Linked DNA regions of Saccharomyces cerevisiae S288C. The protein of the gene in region 3 purifies or fractionates together with the protein of the main gene of each other region. This does not show direct contact. Each region holds a gene or a part of one and is shown on either strand. Other genes may lie near its edges.

Evidence for each region.
Region 1: the proteins of SEC27 (region 3) and SEC26 purify together in Saccharomyces cerevisiae (affinity purification with mass spectrometry; 6 studies listed by BioGRID). This does not show direct contact.
Region 2: the proteins of SEC27 (region 3) and SEC21 purify together in Saccharomyces cerevisiae (affinity purification with mass spectrometry; 6 studies listed by BioGRID). This does not show direct contact.
Region 4: the proteins of SEC27 (region 3) and GLO3 purify together in Saccharomyces cerevisiae (affinity purification with mass spectrometry; 4 studies listed by BioGRID, with this or other methods). This does not show direct contact.

The regions. Positions count from the first base shown.
Region 1 is NC_001136.10:937,358-942,565, forward strand, and holds SEC26 (coatomer subunit beta), read right to left. Parts: upstream 3,460-5,208; coding exon 538-3,459; downstream 1-537. Other genes in the region: mitochondrial 54S ribosomal protein uL5m MRPL7, read left to right, coding at 1-136; YDR239C (uncharacterized protein), read right to left, coding at 3,700-5,208. UniProt on the Saccharomyces cerevisiae protein: The coatomer is a cytosolic protein complex that binds to dilysine motifs and reversibly associates with Golgi non-clathrin-coated vesicles, which further mediate biosynthetic protein transport from the ER, via the Golgi up to the trans Golgi network.
Region 2 is NC_001146.8:90,170-95,343, reverse strand, and holds SEC21 (coatomer subunit gamma), read right to left. Parts: upstream 3,351-5,174; coding exon 543-3,350; downstream 1-542. Other genes in the region: U2 snRNP complex subunit CUS2, read right to left, coding at 1-121; CCR4-NOT core subunit CAF40, read right to left, coding at 3,920-5,041. UniProt on the Saccharomyces cerevisiae protein: The coatomer is a cytosolic protein complex that binds to dilysine motifs and reversibly associates with Golgi non-clathrin-coated vesicles, which further mediate biosynthetic protein transport from the ER, via the Golgi up to the trans Golgi network.
Region 3 is NC_001139.9:248,304-253,287, reverse strand, and holds SEC27 (coatomer subunit beta'), read right to left. Parts: upstream 3,420-4,984; coding exon 3,402-3,419; intron 3,202-3,401; coding exon 550-3,201; downstream 1-549. Other genes in the region: MRM2 (21S rRNA (uridine2791-2'-O) methyltransferase), read left to right, coding at 1-391; YGL138C (uncharacterized protein), read left to right, coding at 3,757-4,794. UniProt on the Saccharomyces cerevisiae protein: The coatomer is a cytosolic protein complex that binds to dilysine motifs and reversibly associates with Golgi non-clathrin-coated vesicles, which further mediate biosynthetic protein transport from the ER, via the Golgi up to the trans Golgi network.
Region 4 is NC_001137.3:402,357-406,270, forward strand, and holds GLO3 (ADP-ribosylation factor GTPase-activating protein), read right to left. Parts: upstream 1,997-3,914; coding exon 515-1,996; downstream 1-514. Other genes in the region: YER121W (uncharacterized protein), read left to right, coding at 19-363; casein kinase YCK3, read left to right, coding at 2,457-3,914. UniProt on the Saccharomyces cerevisiae protein: GTPase-activating protein for the ADP ribosylation factor (ARF) family. Involved in retrograde vesicular transport from the Golgi to the endoplasmic reticulum.

The DNA.
Region 1 (5,208 bases), on a different chromosome or scaffold from region 3:
AATCGATGCAAACCAGGACTCATGGCCTAAAACTTTTGGTATGCACATAAATATAAACACCTCAGCTCAATTAGATTACCAGGCGAGAACTTTGTTGAGTGGGTTCCAGTTCCCATTTTTCGGAGAGGAGAAATAAGAATACAATCTCATGGTCCTGGCCAGTTAGCCATGCTCTATGGCAGAAAGGCAAAGGGCATATATAATTTCCCATTCGTCATGTAAATATATAAACTGTACAAGATACTATCTCTCTCCATTTTTCAATCATATAGTTCTCTTTGGGGCACTGAGATGTCTACAAATTGTTATAAAATTGGACGTCTCTTACACAACTCACAACTCAACTCTGTATAAAGATTTTTAGGAAAGAAAATGTACATAAAAGTGAATACTTGTTTAAAAATGAGAACAAAGATTCCTACGCAATTAAAATCTATTTAAAGATTTTCCTTATTTTTTTATTTCTTTTCGAATTTTTTAAGTTTTATTCTTATCTCCTTTGACATTATAACTTACATTGCATCAGCTCAGGGTGGTTCAAACATGAGTGAGAGCAAGTTTATTGGTCTTCTTAGCAATCAATGCCACTCTGTCACCTAGGGACAGAGCCAAACCTTGTCCCTTTGATCGGATACGAACATAACCTATGACATCATTGGTTTTGGAATCCTTTTCGATACACAAGTTGGCTAGGGCATCTTCACCAAAGGACGACTTCGCATACAGATTACAACTTAAGAACCTACAATCATCTTCTCCCAACGACTCTGATGGTGTTAGAATACCCATATTAGTTCCCTTGACCAGTTCTCTCAAATAAGCATGCAATGTTGGTAGTTGTGATTTGACCGATATTTTGTTCTCCCACTCAAATGCATTCCACATGGTACGGAAATGTTCATCGTCAGCAGTGGCTGGTTTGATATAATCCATAATGTCAACATGAACGTCGTTTAAAATAACATAACGAGCATCTTCACCATGCGCACCATCATAAATAATATTACCGAAAATGACACCTGTGTCAGCAGAGGAAACTTTGACAGTAACAGTGAATTTGTGGAAGCCATGAGGAATCACGTTGGTCTTCTGTGGTGTGTCAATAATCTTCAAATCACCAAGAGTTGCAAATTGCACATGTAGGTTTTTCAATGTTTCTTTCGTTTGATTAACAAGAAGAACATCTAATACGACGTCAAATTGATTGTTTGTAATACAAGCCTCGGCGTAAACTGGATCAGAAAAGCCACATAAAGGTACTATCTTCTTCAGCTTCGAAATACTAGAGCTGCTAGTAGCGTGGATTGCATCTCCTTTCATTGCCAGTTGTAAATCTTCTTCAATACTATCTTTTTGCACATTAGTAGAATCCACACCAGCAAATTGCCTGAAAGAAATCGGCGTATCAATTGGTTCGATGTTTTTGCAACTGTCTTTTAATGCTCTCTTATGCTTGTTCTTCTTTGCAATTTCAATTTGTCTCTTGAATGAGGATTTGGTGGTGTCCAGGAATGCAACCTCCAGAAGTTTAACTTCTTCCTTCTTTTCCTCAGGATTAACTTCATCCAATAAAATAGAAATAGATGTCATAACTCTCTCTAAAGAATCTTCATCAATTTTTTTCTCCACCAAAGAGCTTTGACCCACTCTTACAATACTAACTAAAATTAGTAAAGCTTCCGCCTTTAGAGCATTGATGACAGTTTTGTTCTTGGAAACGTTTTCGAATTTTAAAACAAGTTTAATGATGGTGTTGGCCAGAATGGCAGCTGTGTAGAAATCACCACTTAAAACAAACCGGCGAATTGGAGGTCTAGAATCACGTTCTTCATCGGTAACTGACTTTTGAGAAGTCTTCACATCGAAAGCGCTTTCAGTGGCATACGTACCGTCTGGTAGAATAACTGGACCAGTTGGCTTGGCGGTAGCGTCAACCTCATTTTCTTCGGTGTGTTCTTGGTTTTGTGTTAACTTTTTGATTTCTGATTGAAGGATAGGAACTTCACCTACGCTGTTACGAATGTGCTTCCAACAATGTTGTATCTCACTTTCTCCTTCAGCATACTCACCCATAATCCATAATGCACCGCGGTAAGCTTTAGCAGATCTCACTTTGTCTAGCGTTTGAACCATGTTTTCAAGGATATTGGCTCTAAGTTGTGGGTATTTTTCGATCACTTCTTTGATAAAGGCAATGATACCACTGGCGGCAACCGAGTTTAAATCACCGATGAAATCTAATAATAGCGAAACAACACTTGCTGCCATTTCTACAAAGTTTACAGCCACGGTACGAATAGTTTTTATTAACAATTGTCTGTACTGCATTGCCTTGTCTTGATCTGGGTTATTTACGGTTGTTTGCAGCTCTTTCTTCAAAAGCTGAACAACATCTTCAGCATTTCTGGATGTGGCCAAGTCCATTGAAATATCAAGCGCCTTTGAACGAACGTCTAAATCTTCTGCATTCAAGACTCTCAAAATATCCAGGGTTAACTCTTCCAAAGCACCTACGTTATTAGCATTGATGTCTTGAATACGGTCTAGAACAATTAACTTAATGTTATTATCAGAAACCTTGACGGCCAAGTCAATCAATTTGTTAACCGCAGGAACCAAGACATTTGGATTGGCAGACAACACAGTTAGGGCTAATGCGGTCTCGAAGATGACTTCATCGGAAGTCGTGGTCGAAAGCAGTTCCATCAATAATTCGATATATTGGGCTTTCAAAGCAGGGGTCCTGTTTGCATCTTGTCTGATAAATTGAACAAAGACAGCTTGTAATAAAGGGTCTAGGTTTTCTATATCAGCAATATTGTTCTCTAAATAGTGTAAGGCATTTTCACGATCTAATTCAGCTAACCCAATAAATGCATTTCTTTTACATATTGGATCAGTTTCAGCTACTATGAACGAATTGATGATTTCTTTAGCATCGGGAAGTAAATGTTCGCTGACCTTGAAAATGGAGAAAACTGCTAGGATTGCATACTTACGAACATATGCATGACGGTATTCCAAGCACGCTAAGACAGAGGGAACCATCTGTTCTAAGAGTTCGGCCTCTCTCAATTTCGTTAAAAACCTTAATGTGTTACCTCTAATATATTCATTAGGATGTTGCAAATCGTGTTGAATGGCATTACAGACAAGAATCATTTCATGTCTCAATTTTCCATCTTCAGCTAGTTTGGGAACAATTTCCCAGTAGAAGTACAAAAGCTTTTTTAATTCCTTATTTTTAGAAGGCATGACAAATCTTATTATGTGCATCAACAATTCAGGCATTGGATTTCCTTCCAGCATTGTAACTAAAATTGATTTCATCGTGTCAATTTTTTGTTCATCAGATCCCTTTTCAAGAGCTTTCTGAAAATCGGTACTCGAGTAAGTCTCCATACTCGGAGAAGGATCGAAAACCAACGTGTACGCTGGCTGTGAAGAAAGTGAAGTCATAGGTGCACTCTTGTTCAATAGTTAACTGTGATTACTTTTGTTTATTCTCAAGGCAATCTTAACTGAGTCTTAATGAACGTCAAATTTCACTTGTCGAGCTGTTGTTTTCTGATTTCTTTCTACGTGTAGCGAGTACACGGAAAGAAAAAAAAAACGAAGTGATAAGCTGGGTAATACTTTTCTAAAATGCTGTTCCATAAACGTACATATATGACATCTACAAAACTACAGAGAAGGATATCATTCTGGGTCTGAATCAGGGTTTGCCACACGCAAGCCATGCCCCAGAGAATAGCTGAGGTCTACCACATCAGAGTTCGTTGTGGAGACAGAGTCCTGACGCGATATATTACTTCTAGCATTAGCATCACGATAATCTTGAAGAGAGATATGTGTAGGAAGCTTTTGTCTGTTCACGTAATCATTATCCAGTGTTCCACTTCTCATTCTGTTCTGAGACCTTGTGTAGTAGCTGACTACCGTGTTAGATCTTGACACGGAATCAACAGAACCGTTTTGCCCTCTTTTTTCTCGTAAAGGCGCCATTATATCATCACTGTTATATGCTTCATCACCGGGTATGTCCTTGAGGTAGTCTTCGGCTTGTTCTGCGTCAGTGCCTTCTTTTTTTGAAATAGAGCCAGTTTCATTTTCCTTCCCTAACAATTTATGGAATTCCTTTGTGTGGTCAACATTGATTTTATTTTTCAGCCCTGTAGCGGTTCCATCTGATTCTTCATTTCTTGTCTCCAACGCCAGTAATTTCTGTTTAACTTTACCATGCTTGATACCAATTTGCTTAGAACTTGTCCTCAACTTGACCTTAATATTCTTGGGTTGAATCAAATTATTTTTTTGTTTTAGAGCAACCGGCAAGTTAGGAGGCGCTTGTAAAAAGTTAGAAGTCTTGTAATACTTTAGTCGCAGTTCTTCTACGTAACTAGAAACCAAAGGCACGGACTTTTCCGATTTGTTCGATACGACAGATGTTAACGGTGAACATTTGACAGATCTTTCGCTTGGGGCATCATGTACCGGATTTGGTAAATCCACCGTTGCAGGGATAGTAACTGTGTGTTCATTGAACGAGTGAGCAGCCGGCACTAAACTTTCTGAAATGGAGTTTAAACTGTTTAACTCGGATGTTTTATTTGATGATTTTGTGTTTCCGTTTGAGTCAAGAGCAGCCAAAACAGTTGATTTAGAGCCTTTTGATATAGAAAGTCCTGACTGGCTAGAGAAGTTTGACTTGGCATCATACTCACCAGATGATGCAGTGTCAAAAGAATGCTTGTCGGTTAGACTGCCCGTATCGTTTACACTATTTAAATAGAAACTAGGGCGATCTTCATTAACCACCCTAAATATTCTACGATGACTTGGTAACTCAGGCTCTTGTGTTGAGACGTCATTTTTTATAGATGAGCCTTGATCACTTGCGTAATTTATAAATGCTTTACTTTCACTATCCACAAAACCTTTTTCCTGAAGACCATCATCATCATCCTCGTTGGAAGAACCGCTATCAATCTCATTAGTTATCCGCAGAGGCTTTCTGGCGCTTGCAATACTTCCATCACTCCCAAGGTGCTCATTTGATTTATATGCAAAATCAAAATGTGCAGCTTTAAAACCACTAGATTCGTCTTTAGAAACTTGCTGAAGGCTTTTGGTGGATTTACCACTAGCCGATGTACTAAAGGAAAATTTATCATCCCCATCATCCAGATTCGAAGAAAATTCTTTTAG
Region 2 (5,174 bases), on a different chromosome or scaffold from region 3:
CATTATTATATTCAAGCTCTCTTTTCTGAAGATTACTCTCTTTTAACTGTTTCCTTCTAAGCAATTCTTCTTTTTTCAATTTTTTCAAATGACCTTTCAATTCCAATTCATCAGCATCCATCGCTGTCAAACAGTAATGTTGGTAACGGAATACAGTGAAAAGTGTAGTGCGTTCAAGGGTCTGCAGCCTTTTACAATATGCCTGGTCAGACTAGTGCTTTTTTTTTGTTTTTTTTCTTCTTCTTCTTTCATCAATTGCATAATGTCAACTTTTTTCTGCCCTGTTGTCCTGTTTCTTCCATTTCGTTTTCTCTTGTCAAACTATTATAGTATTTTTCTTTAAAAATTTTGTTTATACAAAGATTACATAATTTATTCTTCGTGTGGTGATGATCCGTCATATTCTATCCGTGATTTTTTTGGTTTATTATTGTTCTTGCTGTTCATTCCCTTATTTGCATGCACGCTTGCTAAAGCTGACGCATTTCTTTTAATACTATTGATAACAAAAGAAGGGATTAACTGAAATAAAATTTCACAGCTTACTGCATTAGACCATTCACCAGATCAGAGCATAATAAGCTGTCTTCACCTTTACCATGAACTTTCAAAGCAAGACCTTTCGAACTCTTGATCATCTTAATCTGTAGGGCTACTTTAGATCCAGTTAAAGCACTCTTACCAAATAATTTCAAGGTGTGGGAGTTTGAATCACTTGGAGCAAATTGGGTACTTTCCACCGGTAAGCAGCTACTGTTCAAAATAATCTTATCTACTACTTCTTGTATGGATAAATCTTCTTGAATGTTGAAAACAGCAACTTCTTCGCATGGCAACTCATCAAATGTAGCGGAGAAGTTACCAGTGAAAGAACTCTTAACATAATCACCAGCATTCAAGAAAATCGAGTCAATTTCATATTCATCTTGGAAACCTTCATCACCATCAAATGGCTCATTAGTGTCAGGGTTTATTTCTTTTGTAGTGAATGTTAAGTTGTTCAAGAAACCTTCCATTACAATTTCATCAAGTTTTTTGAATGCAACGTAACAAGCTGCTTCCTCGGATGGTAATAATCTGTCCACTTGTAGGGTGAATAGCTCTTCTAATTCAGCTTCATCAGAAATTTCAGGGGTACAGACTACAGAAACATTGTCTAGGGCAATATCCGTCAGAGTATTCGTAATATTAAATTGTAAAACAACATTGTCTTTGAAGAGATGTTTGACACCACGTACAACGAATTCTGCTTCTGGCTCAGTTAATGAGATAGCCCTAGAACTATTTACTAATTGACCAAATGGTTTAATTTGTTCAATGGATAGCAATTCGTCAGCGTACTTAGTAGCTAGTAGATCTTCTTGGTGGTCGTCCAAGTTTGGACCAGCAAATGAATTAGCGTCAGCTCTTTTTTCTGGAACACTCTCTGCCTCTGGTGTAGTATCCAAAGTGGTTTCAGACTTTTGATTGAAAATTTGTTCTTGCTTTCTCTTCAGATTTATTGCCTTCATTTCATCCTCAGTAAACTTACGAACTTGATTCACATCAAATGCAGTTGCAAATGAATCAGTATTTGAGGAAATGTAAGAACTTAATTTTGACTCTAATGATGGAATATCGTAAAAATATTTGGATTCGATTAGATTTTGTGCTATAACATCATCTTTATTCCTAGCCGAATCAATGAATTCTAGTGCAATGGTGGCTCTGTCTCTGACTTCATCGTCTTTATCATTAGCGATTCTCTTTAACAAACTTATGATTGACTCATATAAGGTAGGATCGTTCTTCGTCAAAGCAAACTTAGATAAAGCTACAACGGCAGCAGATCTAATAATAGAATTTTCCAACACCACTCTGTTATAAATATGTCTAACATATAATGATGGATTTGGGGCAGATGGACCTTCTTTACCCAAAAGATGTAGTATTCTCACTAGTATTTCGTTGAATTCACAATCCTCGATGAAATCACACAAGTTTTCTAAGGCGAGTTCTTTAGACTGTGGAACAAATGAAACAATATCGATTAATGCTTCGACAATACTGTTTTTAAATTTGAATCCACCTTCACTATTTTTCAAAACATCGATTAAGAAGTTCAAAATTGACTTCCATTCCTGTGGGAAGTTCAAAGACAACGTACGAACGGCGTCAATAATAATGATCTTAAAGTCATCACTGACATCATGGATAAAATTAGTAATAGTCGAAATCAGAGATGAAATATTTTTGGAAGTTCCTGTCTTCAATAAAGTGGTGATTGCATAAGTAGAAATGTTTCTATTAGAATCATTAATTAAAGATTCTAGTTCAGGATTACAAACAACAATCTTTTCTGGTGAAACCATGGATATTCTATTTAAGATTCTCAATGCAGCGAATCTAGAAGAAACACGAGGAACGGTCAGTAAGGACTGTAAAGCACTGATAGCTGCCGCATATAACTCGGGAGCCACTAAGCGGGAATTGCGAGTAGCGAAAGAAGTAATCAATTTCGCCGTTTCCAACTGAACAGATTCGAACTTGTTGGATAGCCAATCAGACAAAAGTGGCCTGAATTGACTAAATAATTGAGGATCCCTATAAATCAAATCGTTGACAATCTTGACCAATTCTACCTTGGCCAATTGATTTTTCATAGAATTGTTTTCAGAGAAATGTCTAACCAATTTTAGTAACGCCATTTTATCAGTTTTCTTCAGTTGATAAAGCAACCCAAGAGCATGATATTGAGAAATATAAGTGGAGTTTGGATAATATTCGCTATTACCGTGTTGATTTGGAAATTGTTTCAAATCCAAAACAGCTTCTTGAGTTTCATTGGTGAATCTTCTGATAGTGACTTCTGAAATGGGCAGCAAATGATAAGAAGTACATAATGCTGCTGAGGATATTGAAGGATGTCTACTTACCACGGCACTTTTTAATAACCTTTCAGCGGAAAAAGCAGTAGATTCATCCAAGACATAAGTCAGCGATCTAATAGCGTCAGGCTTAATCAAATCGGAACCGTTTTGAACGTCCTTCATGATTGAAGAGGTTGCCATCAACACATCCTCCGAAATGCCACTCAATTCCTTGATTGCCAAATAAACAGCCTGCCTTAAAGGATCGTTCTGGTGTTGAAATAATTTGGAGATAGAGAAAAATAATGCAGTTGCTTCATTCTGTGGGAAGGTTTCGCCCTGGGCCAAGAGTCTCAGCAAGCGAGAAATCAATAAACGACATCTCTTGGAATTGACAGGTGATTCGTTAAACGTGTTCATACAATCCTGATAAATGGTCATTTTATCAGGTAAATCGCCCGAGGTCGAGTTTTCAAACTTTTTGTAAGTATGTGCAGACATGTTGATTCGCTCTGTGATTTAGTATCGCTTCTTGGCTTTTGTCCTATCCGTATTTGTTTAGTTATTTTGTATTATACGTCGTTCTGTAATGTTTGCGGGCTCACCTGGATGAAGCTAAGAACAAAAAAACGGGTTTAGCAGAATAACTGAAGAAGTACGTTGGTAATGAGCACACACAATTCCTCCCTTGCACTTATTTGTAAAGAATTGTGTTCTCAACAATGCAACTCGTATCCAAAAAAACGCCTATGTATATTTCATTGATCTTGACGAAACCTTTAGATTTCGAAAAAAATAGAATCGTGGTTCGTGGCGTCGTAGTGAATGACACAAGGGGTACATTCCGGGTGATAGGATGAAAAATGGGTAATAGTAATAGTACAGAAGAACCTTCTGGCACTTAACTTAAACCATTCTGAAATATGAGTGGACTTTATACATTTCATGCATATAAATATAACTATACAAAATTAGGAGAGGTGAGGAAGTGAAACTAAAACAAAAAGGCAAGGTTAAAACAATACAGGAAAATAGAAAGAGAAAAACAGTAATATATCTATGGGGATGCATCATGAGGTTTCTTCGTTTAATGTCAGTAGCAATTGTGCCAGACATCTCTTGGACCCGACGTCGTCTCTTAGTACTTCCGTAAAAGTGTTATCTCTCAGTTTGGCAGGTAAGACTATTTTCAATAGCCTGCGTGCTTCGAGATCGTCGCTTAATCTTAAGTAGCATCTAATGATATGTTTCAGTAGTCGTCCCGGTGGTGTGCTCACGGTCAAGTGCTCAACCATATCTTTTAAGACATTAGTTACGGCGTAGAACCTTTCCAAGGTGGCACAGATGTATTGCAATCCAACGTCATCTAGTAGGATTTTCTGTAAAATGAAAATGGCGACTGTCTTGGAAAGCTCAGAAGAAGATTCCATGATCCTTAGGCATAACGGCACGATATCGGTTCTTAGCAAAAACGTTATTACGTCTTGTGAGTCATTTTTGACCAATGCGCCTATCACACCTAATGAAGTCAATCTCAAGTACTCAAAAGTTCTTTGCCTGGAGGTAGTATTTAGGAAGGGGAAAAGAAAGAGAGGAATATGGGCCTGTAAAAAGAGATGTTTTGTCTCTGGGTGAGATGCAACACACTGTAGAAGAACTAGAGCGTTGCATACACGATTTGATAGATTGTTAGAGAGCATCTGAGGTTGCAGCATGGGATATACGGAAATGATTTCGTTCAGCAATGAGGTCATTACACCAAAGGAAGACCAAAGCACAACGGCAAGGTCATCAAACTGTTCTCTTTTGCGACCTAATTCAAGCAGTGCTTGTTCCTTTTGAGGGCCGTAGGTCAATTGACAAATCCAGTGGTATACATTGGGATCATCTAGAGCATGCACTGCGCCTCTATTATTGACCATGTTGGGATTGTTTCGAGTTGCGTTAGCATCGTTACCGCCGTTATTGCCGTTATTGCCGTTGTTCTCGCCATTTTCATTGCTATTATTATTATTCGGAGTATTGCCCATTAGCATGGGGCCTCCACTTGGAATTTGTTGATTCATGCCTGGACCCATTGAAGTTGGAACCCCAGGCATGGACATAGATCCTGGATTATTAGTTGAAGGACCACCACCACCCATGTTCACGCCTGCTCCATTGCCATATATTGGCTTTTGAGCGGAAAACATATTAACTTATTCAGAGGATGTTCAGTTGCTGTCGTTGTTGCTTCAGGAACAAAGTTTAATCTCGTCAAGATCAGCAGAAACACACACACTCGCAAATTTGTCAAAACTTGGGAGTTTTAAAAGATGAACGGTT
Region 3 (4,984 bases):
ACGAGAAAAATTCCCAGTTGATGTGATTATAAGTGATATGTATGAACCCTGGCCCCAAACAACCGGTTTTTGGAACAACATTACTAATCAAGCTTATTTTAGGATGGCTAATACATCTGGTGTCAGTATAAGAGACCATTACCAATCTATTGATTTATGTGACGCAGCCTTAGTTACGGCTATAGATTTATTACGGCCATTAGGTTCGTTTGTTTGTAAACTATACACCGGCGAAGAAGAAAACCTATTTAAAAAAAGAATGCAGGCAGTTTTCACTAACGTTCATAAGTTCAAGCCTGACGCTTCTAGAGACGAATCAAAGGAGACCTATTATATCGGATTAAAGAAGAAAAGAAATGTAGATAAACTGGACGTGTTTAGTAATTCATAATATGATTTGTTTGCGCGCAAAGTTTCAAGTCACGTTCATTTTCACACCTATCGCAATAAAAATAAAAAGTGTACATCTGTATATATATATGTTTACCATCCATTAAAGATGTTTTCTCATTCGTTGATTAGTTCTTTATTTGTCTTTCTATGAGGTGGTTAACTCTCTTCTTCCACAGGCTCCGGCACTGCCTCTCCTTGCTCCGGCTGTTGTTCTGATTGTTGTTGCTGGGGAGCTTCCTCTTCTTTTTTTTCGGCTTCAACTGCCTCTGAGTTGGATTCTTTAAACTCGCTGTCCTCAACTTCAGCTTCTTTGTTTTCGTCAGCTTGTTCTGGGGCTGGAGTGGAATCTAAGTCAATGAGTGGTTGGGCATCTCCTGAACTCGAAGAGCCTGGTAAACCTTCGGCCCCACAAACTCTTTCTGATACAGTATTCTTACCGTTGAGTATCAAATTTTCCTTCCATTTTGTAACAATATCGTTGACTGCATCATCTCCTAAACCGTATGTTGATCCAAGGAAAGCGGCTTCGGAAAACCTTTGAGACTTGATTAAAAGATCTTTAGCGCCTTGTATATCGCCAGCGATCCAATATGCATTAAAAGCCAAATTGAATTTACCGGCCCTTTCAGCATCTTTAGCTAAAGTGACCAACCCCTCCTTGTTATTAAAAGATGAGTGCAATAGAAATAAAGATTCTAGATCATGTGCATTTGTGAAAGCTTCAACAGCAAGTTTAAAATTGAACCTTTGTAAGGAAGCATCACCCAAGGCTCTCCATTTCATTTCGGCGCTTTCATCTGTCAACAAATCGCGAGCAAGCGTAAGTTGGCCGACTTTTAAGGCTAGCTCAAATTTTTGATCTTGATCAGGGGAAATATTCAGTGCTTCTTCATAATACTCTTGACCTTCCAGAAATCTAGCAATTTTTGTTAAAGAGTCCTTACCCTCAACATTTGGGAGTACATTTTCAATGGCTTCTTCAATTTCCCCTCTTAAAGTCAATGTTTGGAACTCCAGCACCTCTAGAGATATTTCGTAACCATAAACATGGACCTCTCTGTCAGCTAAATATACTTTATTATCACGTGCTAGATAGCCCAATAGATACATTTCCTTTGTGTAATGGGCTAAATTATAAGTCTTTCCACCTACGAAGTAGTTCAGCCTGTTAGTTGCTGTGGTAAAGATAAAGACATCACCAACCCATTTGCCTGATGTAATGGATTCACTTAGTTCATACAATACGTCAAAAGCCTCATCAACACCTTCTGAATCGTCGATATTGCCATTATTTGCTGCTTCAAGGTAAGCATCCTTGTTGAATAATAATGTGTAACCACTTGCTTCATCACCATTACTATTGGTGTTGACAATCATCACCAGCTCACCGTTATCGGACCAAATGACATCCTTAGCATTAACATCAATTCTTCTAACTAGCGTACCGTTGTCCCAATCGAAGAAATAGACGAAGCCATCAGACTTCACACCCAACAAGGCACCTGAAAATAATCTATCAATAGCAGAATGCATTGGGACAGACCATGATGTGACTTCTTTAAAGTTTTTGTAGTATTTAATTTGCCCAGTTTCATCAATTAAAGCATAACTATTGGAGTCGGGGCCCCAAACAAAGTCTTGACATTTACCGAAGGCTTTGTTTCTCCAAGCCAACGCCGTATAAATAACGTATTCACCATCCCCAACAACTGTAACAAACCTACCATTTGGAGAATGGGCTAAAGATTGAGGGAAAACATCAACGGAACCCAGCTCCTTAGTTTGTAAAGATAATGGTTCATCTTGTTCAACTTCTTCGTTACCTCTTATGACGGCAGTGAAAATGTCTGAAGCTGCGGCATTTTTGCCACCTGACCATACTAGCTTACCGACAGGGTCAAGTGATAAAGTTGGTTCATCATTTCCCAAGGAAAGTACGGTAAACCCATTATCAAACCCGGATGCAATGTAGTTTTTACGTCCTGTTGGATGGGTAGCGATACACCAACTTCTTTCTAAACCAACGTTTAAAGTCTTTTCTACCTTGTAAGTGGAAGAATTCCATATCTTTAAAGTGCCATCTTCGGAACCAGAAATTATAATGGGTAAAGTTGGATGGAAAACAGCAAAAGAAACATTGGACATGTGACCTTCTAGAGTGGCTACACATGACTTCGTTTGGTAATCCCAAATTTTGATGGTTAAGTCGTCCGACGCAGTAATCATATAAGGCTTGTCAGGTAGCGGGTAATAATCAACATAATTCACACCTCTTTCTTGTCCTGTGGTTAACGTGAAATTTGGTGTCGATTGTCCCAATGACCAAACTTTAACGGTTCGGTCCAAACACCCAGATGCAAACGTACTAGGATCCTTTGGATTGAATGCGACGCACATGACAAAGTGTTCGTGACCTTCAAAAGTTTGTTCTAAGGCCCAGTTATTTTCCCAATTCCATAGTTTGACTGTCAAATCATCACTGCCGGATAAAACATAAGGCTTTGTTGGATGTACAGCAATGGAACGGATATAGTCTGGATGAGCTTCGAAATCAACAACTTTTTCACCTGTATTGTAGTTGAAGACTCTGATCCTGAAATCATCACTCCCAACAATTATCCAATTCTTTCTTGCAATGAATTTACCTGCTCTAACAGGAGTTTCCGTAACTTGGATGGATCTAACTTCAACTTGTGTTTCGTAATTCCAAAGCTCAACACGACCAGAGTACAAGGTAGTCAAAACCCATGGCTCAGTAGGATGGAAATCGATACCTTTAACTCGATCGGATCTATTACTAAAAGTTTTCTATCATAAATGTACAGTGTCAAATAAAGGAAATGCCAAGAGCAAATGCATTTATTTCAAAAATCTTCCTGTTAGTAACTAATCTTAATGTTTGCTTTTTGCAGGCTTTGTATTCTTCGCGAACGAGATCATTTCCTAATCATAGGAGTTGTCGGAGCTTGTTCGCAATTGCATTGGCAAAACGCGCTCTGGTAACATACCTTTATATCCAACTTCATCGTGTCCGTATAATTGTTTCGATTGGGTGTCTTAATTCACCATTACAAGCTACCATTTATTGCAGCTTTCTGTTATTTACTCCCAAATCTTACACGACATGTTCCTAATGCCAGCTCGATTCATTCATGAAAAAAAGACAGTTTATTACCCGCTCATTCGTCAGACGCGATTAAAATTTGACGCCGCGTCACAAAATAATCAATTTGATAATAATATATTTGATATTATTGTCCATATTCAATAATTAGTAATGTGGATCTAATGATTTTTATACAGCTCAATACAAAGCAACAAAACTAAAAATAGATTATAATATCCAAAGTGCTCCTCGGATGAATGTACAACTTTTTAGAATTTTTCTTCTTTTTTATAACGTACACCTTATTTAAGAGCACTTTCGTTCAAGGAAAAAGTTCATTTCCTGGACATGATGTGTGTAAGTTCGAAGACCAAAATTTCCAGACAGAGTTCTTCTTAAATGTTCTTAAAGGTGACAAGTTACAGAACTTGAAGCAGGAGTACGAACAATACAAAAAACAAAGTACTTTGTACACAGGCTTTGTAATTGAAAAACAATATGAATACCAGGTAGCGCCCTTGCAAATCAATAATTTTCTTCAAGTGACCTTTTGTAAAGGAGGAAAGCCAATTTGGAATCATATTCTACCCTTTCAAAAGGATTTAGATTGGGCAGAACCACTATGCATTCCAGCCCAGGAGGATGATACTATCTCCCAAAACAGCTCAGTATGTTTCAAGTTTGCAAGGGTGCAGAAATATACACAGCGTAATGTAACCCTTTACTTTCCTAATAAATTTGTTGGATTCGTATTTGTTTGCAATTCTTCAAAGACGCATCCCCCCACTCAGAACAATTTTGAAACTATTCCATTAACGCCTATTATTTCTGATGATATTAGAGATTACAAAATATCTTGGTCAATTAAAGGAAGAATCACCAAGGTGGTACCTTATCTACATTCGTTAAGTATTCCTATGTCCAAATATGAGATGCTCATCCATTCAGATAAGAACATATCAAACGAATTGGAATATAAATCCTTAACTTCGGAGTTTTGGAAGAGCTATAAAAACTTAAGAAAGTTTAAAAACAAAGAAATGTCTTGGATAAACGAAATAAATCCTATGGAGCAATATGATAGCTCTGGGAATGAAAATGTCCCGAATTTTCATGAAAAACTAGACCGTACAATAAATCGGATTGCGCAAAACATAGAAAGGCCTCATGATGCACTAATAAGAGCGATAGCCGCACATAATAGAAACTCTAATAGTGGAAATATTACAAGAAGGAAATATTTGAGGAGGAAGATCTCAAAGATGTTAAAAAATAAGATACCTCTTAAGAACTGAACAACTTACACATTCCTATTCATGAAAAAACATAATTTTATAATAAATTGTTTGTTTGATTCGATTAGTTTATTTAACTTGATTAATTTAAGTATTTATTTTTTTTTAATTTGTTGTTACACGAGGAGTATTAAAAATATGACAAACTGGGATATTACAACATAGAAACAAAGATAACAAAAGCTATCTA
Region 4 (3,914 bases), on a different chromosome or scaffold from region 3:
TATTGACAATATAGTAACATGGGCTTATCGCGCTGGCACGACAAGAATTCAAGGCCAGCAGAGGAAAAGAGCGAAGAAATGCAACAGGATGCGCACTACTACGCCCTTGCGGCAAGTGATAGTTTAAATGCAAGTGTTTCTAACGAATATGGTAATCAAGTAATGAACTCGTTTTGGAAAGTGGGTATAGACTCTCCCTATGTGGACGATGAAGCAATTAGAAACAGAGATGTCGAAAATAACTTACCTTCTTTAAAGCAAAGTGTTTATAATGCTAATGAACCAAATGCTACCTCGTCTGCATTTTCAACCGCTTCATACGCACATGAAACTTTCGATTTTAGAAACCTTAAACTAAGATAAGGGGGGATGAAGAATAAGAATAAACGCACGTACAATGCATATACAACCGTTTCTATGTACCATAAATATAATTATCATATAATGAAAAATGAGAATAAAAAACAATGATAACAATGAAAAAAAAAAAATTCAATTAAAGAGAAAATTAAACTTATTTTCTTAAGTAGTCCCTTAAATAACTACCGAGTTTTTCAGCACCCTGTTCTACAACGTCTCTCAACATCTGCAATTCATCATCTGCGGAGGCATTAAAATCGATGAAACCGTTATTAGAATTACGGCCATCAAAATTCCCTGCTCCACTTCCACTACTATTGATGGGATTACCAAATTCATCCACTTCTTTATCTTCTCCAAAGTATGAAGAAGAGGAAATTGATGTAGCATTGTCAAATGTTTTCAACTTGTCATGCGCTTCCCTGTTTGCTGCTTCATCAAATGAGCCACGACCAAATAATTGATCAGATGATATAGCTTTTTGTGTGCCGTACCTTTCCGCGATTCTGCCCGTATATCTTGGTCCCTGAGCTATTTTCTGAGATTCTTTTTGTTGCTTTGCCAAATCATTGGCGTCATTCATGGTCATACCAAATCCCAATTTGGCAAACTTGGGTGTTAAAGTATCTTGCTGTTCTTTTCTAGTTGTGTCGAAGCTGTTTGAAGTGTCATTTAAAAAATCATTGAATTCATCAGGCTGGGTATTAATATCATCTATACTGTTATTATTGTTGCCTTTACTGTTATTCATAAATTGGGAATCGTAATCATTTTGTCTAATTTTGGTGCTAGAAGACGAATTAGTGAACTCGTCCTCCTTTTCTTGTTGAGCCTCTTTTTTAAATTGATCAAACAAGTCTTCTGCCTGTGATTTGTCGACTTTCTTTGCGGTTAGTCTAGTGGGCTTTCTTGACGAAGACAAAATTGAATGTTTCTTTTTATCTTGCGAGTTTAATACCGGTTTCTTTCTGCTAGCCGTTAAGATGGAACTTCTCGTTTTAGTGACAGTGGTCTTGGGTGTGCTGCCTGTGGTGTTGTTTTTTGGGGCGAGAGAGCCTGTATTTACATTGAGTTTAGAACTGGAATTGGAGCTTGGTTTTTGCCAATTAGAGAAAAAATCGTCAACACTATTTTCTTTGGAAGTCGACCTGGAAGCGTCTGAATCGGTGTCCAACGGTGAGTCCGAAGAATCTTGACCGTTCAAGACTAATTCTGATGGGTATAACTCCATATCCTTTTGAACCTTCTTGTCGAGATGTATCTTATATTTCTTAGCAACAGGGCTCGTATATTTTGTTTTCGCGTCAACATTTGCTGTATTTAGTAGCTGTTTCCCATTGTTCTTTAAGAAAAAATCACGAGCCTTATGGTTCCCACCCAACTTAAACCTTCTTAAATTGTTAATTGTCCATTTATCTAATGTAGAAGACTTTACAAAGGTGATATGAACACCCATGTTTCTATGCACAGCAGAGCATTGAATACACAGCATCACACCAAAAGGTACCGAAGTCCAAGTAGGATTCTTGTTACCACAATCAAAACAAACTCGATTTTCCATGTTGCTACCTAGCTTCTGAAAAACTTGTTGAGTAGTCTGTTCCGTGGCAAATGTTTCTCCTTCATCGTTACTCATTGTCGCTATGTGTATACTAAATTGCTCAAGAAGACCGGATCAACAAGTACTTAACAAATACCCTTTCTTTGCTATCGCCTTGATCTCCTTTTATAAAATGCCAGCTAAATCGTGTTTACGAAGAATAGTTGTTTTCTTTTTTTTTTTTTTTTTTCGAAACTTTACCGTGTCGTCGAAAATGACCAAACGATGTTACTTTTCCTTTTGTGTCATAGATAATACCAATATTGAAAGTAAAATTTTAAACATTCTATAGGTGAATTGAAAAGGGCAGCTTAGAGAGTAACAGGGGAACAGCATTCGTAACATCTAGGTACTGGTATTATTTGCTGTTTTTTAAAAAAGAAGGAAATCCGTTTTGCAAGAATTGTCTGCTATTTAAGGGTATACGTGCTACGGTCCACTAATCAAAAGTGGTATCTCATTCTGAAGAAAAAGTGTAAAAGGACGATAAGGAAAGATGTCCCAACGATCTTCACAACACATTGTAGGTATTCATTATGCTGTAGGACCTAAGATTGGCGAAGGGTCTTTCGGAGTAATATTTGAGGGAGAGAACATTCTTCATTCTTGTCAAGCGCAGACCGGTAGCAAGAGGGACTCTAGTATAATAATGGCGAACGAGCCAGTCGCAATTAAATTCGAACCGCGACATTCGGACGCACCCCAGTTGCGTGACGAATTTAGAGCCTATAGGATATTGAATGGCTGCGTTGGAATTCCCCATGCTTATTATTTTGGTCAAGAAGGTATGCACAACATCTTGATTATCGATTTACTAGGGCCATCATTGGAAGATCTCTTTGAGTGGTGTGGTAGAAAATTTTCAGTGAAAACAACCTGTATGGTTGCCAAGCAAATGATTGATAGAGTTAGAGCAATTCATGATCACGACTTAATCTATCGCGATATTAAACCCGATAACTTTTTAATTTCTCAATATCAAAGAATTTCACCTGAAGGAAAAGTCATTAAATCATGTGCCTCCTCTTCTAATAATGATCCCAATTTAATATACATGGTTGACTTTGGTATGGCAAAACAATATAGAGATCCAAGAACGAAACAACATATACCATACCGTGAACGAAAATCATTGAGCGGTACCGCCAGATATATGTCTATTAATACTCATTTTGGAAGAGAACAGTCACGTAGGGATGATTTAGAATCGCTAGGTCACGTTTTTTTTTATTTCTTGAGGGGATCCTTGCCATGGCAAGGTTTGAAAGCACCAAACAACAAACTGAAGTATGAAAAGATTGGTATGACTAAACAGAAATTGAATCCTGATGATCTTTTATTGAATAATGCTATTCCTTATCAGTTTGCCACATATTTAAAATATGCACGTTCCTTGAAGTTCGACGAAGATCCGGATTATGACTATTTAATCTCGTTAATGGATGACGCTTTGAGATTAAACGACTTAAAGGATGATGGACACTATGACTGGATGGATTTGAATGGTGGTAAAGGCTGGAATATCAAGATTAATAGAAGAGCTAACTTGCATGGTTACGGAAATCCAAATCCAAGAGTCAATGGCAATACTGCAAGAAACAATGTGAATACGAATTCAAAGACACGAAATACAACGCCAGTTGCGACACCTAAGCAACAAGCTCAAAACAGTTATAACAAGGACAATTCGAAATCCAGAATTTCTTCGAACCCGCAGAGCTTTACTAAACAACAACACGTCTTGAAAAAAATCGAACCCAATAGTAAATATATTCCTGAAACACATTCAAATCTTCAACGGCCAATTAAAAGTCAAAGTCAAACGTACGACTCCATCAGTCATACACAAAATTCACCATTTGTACCATATTCAAGTTCTAAAGCTAACCCTAAAAGAAGTAATAATGAGCACAACTTACCAAACCACTACACAAACCTTGCAAATAAGAATATC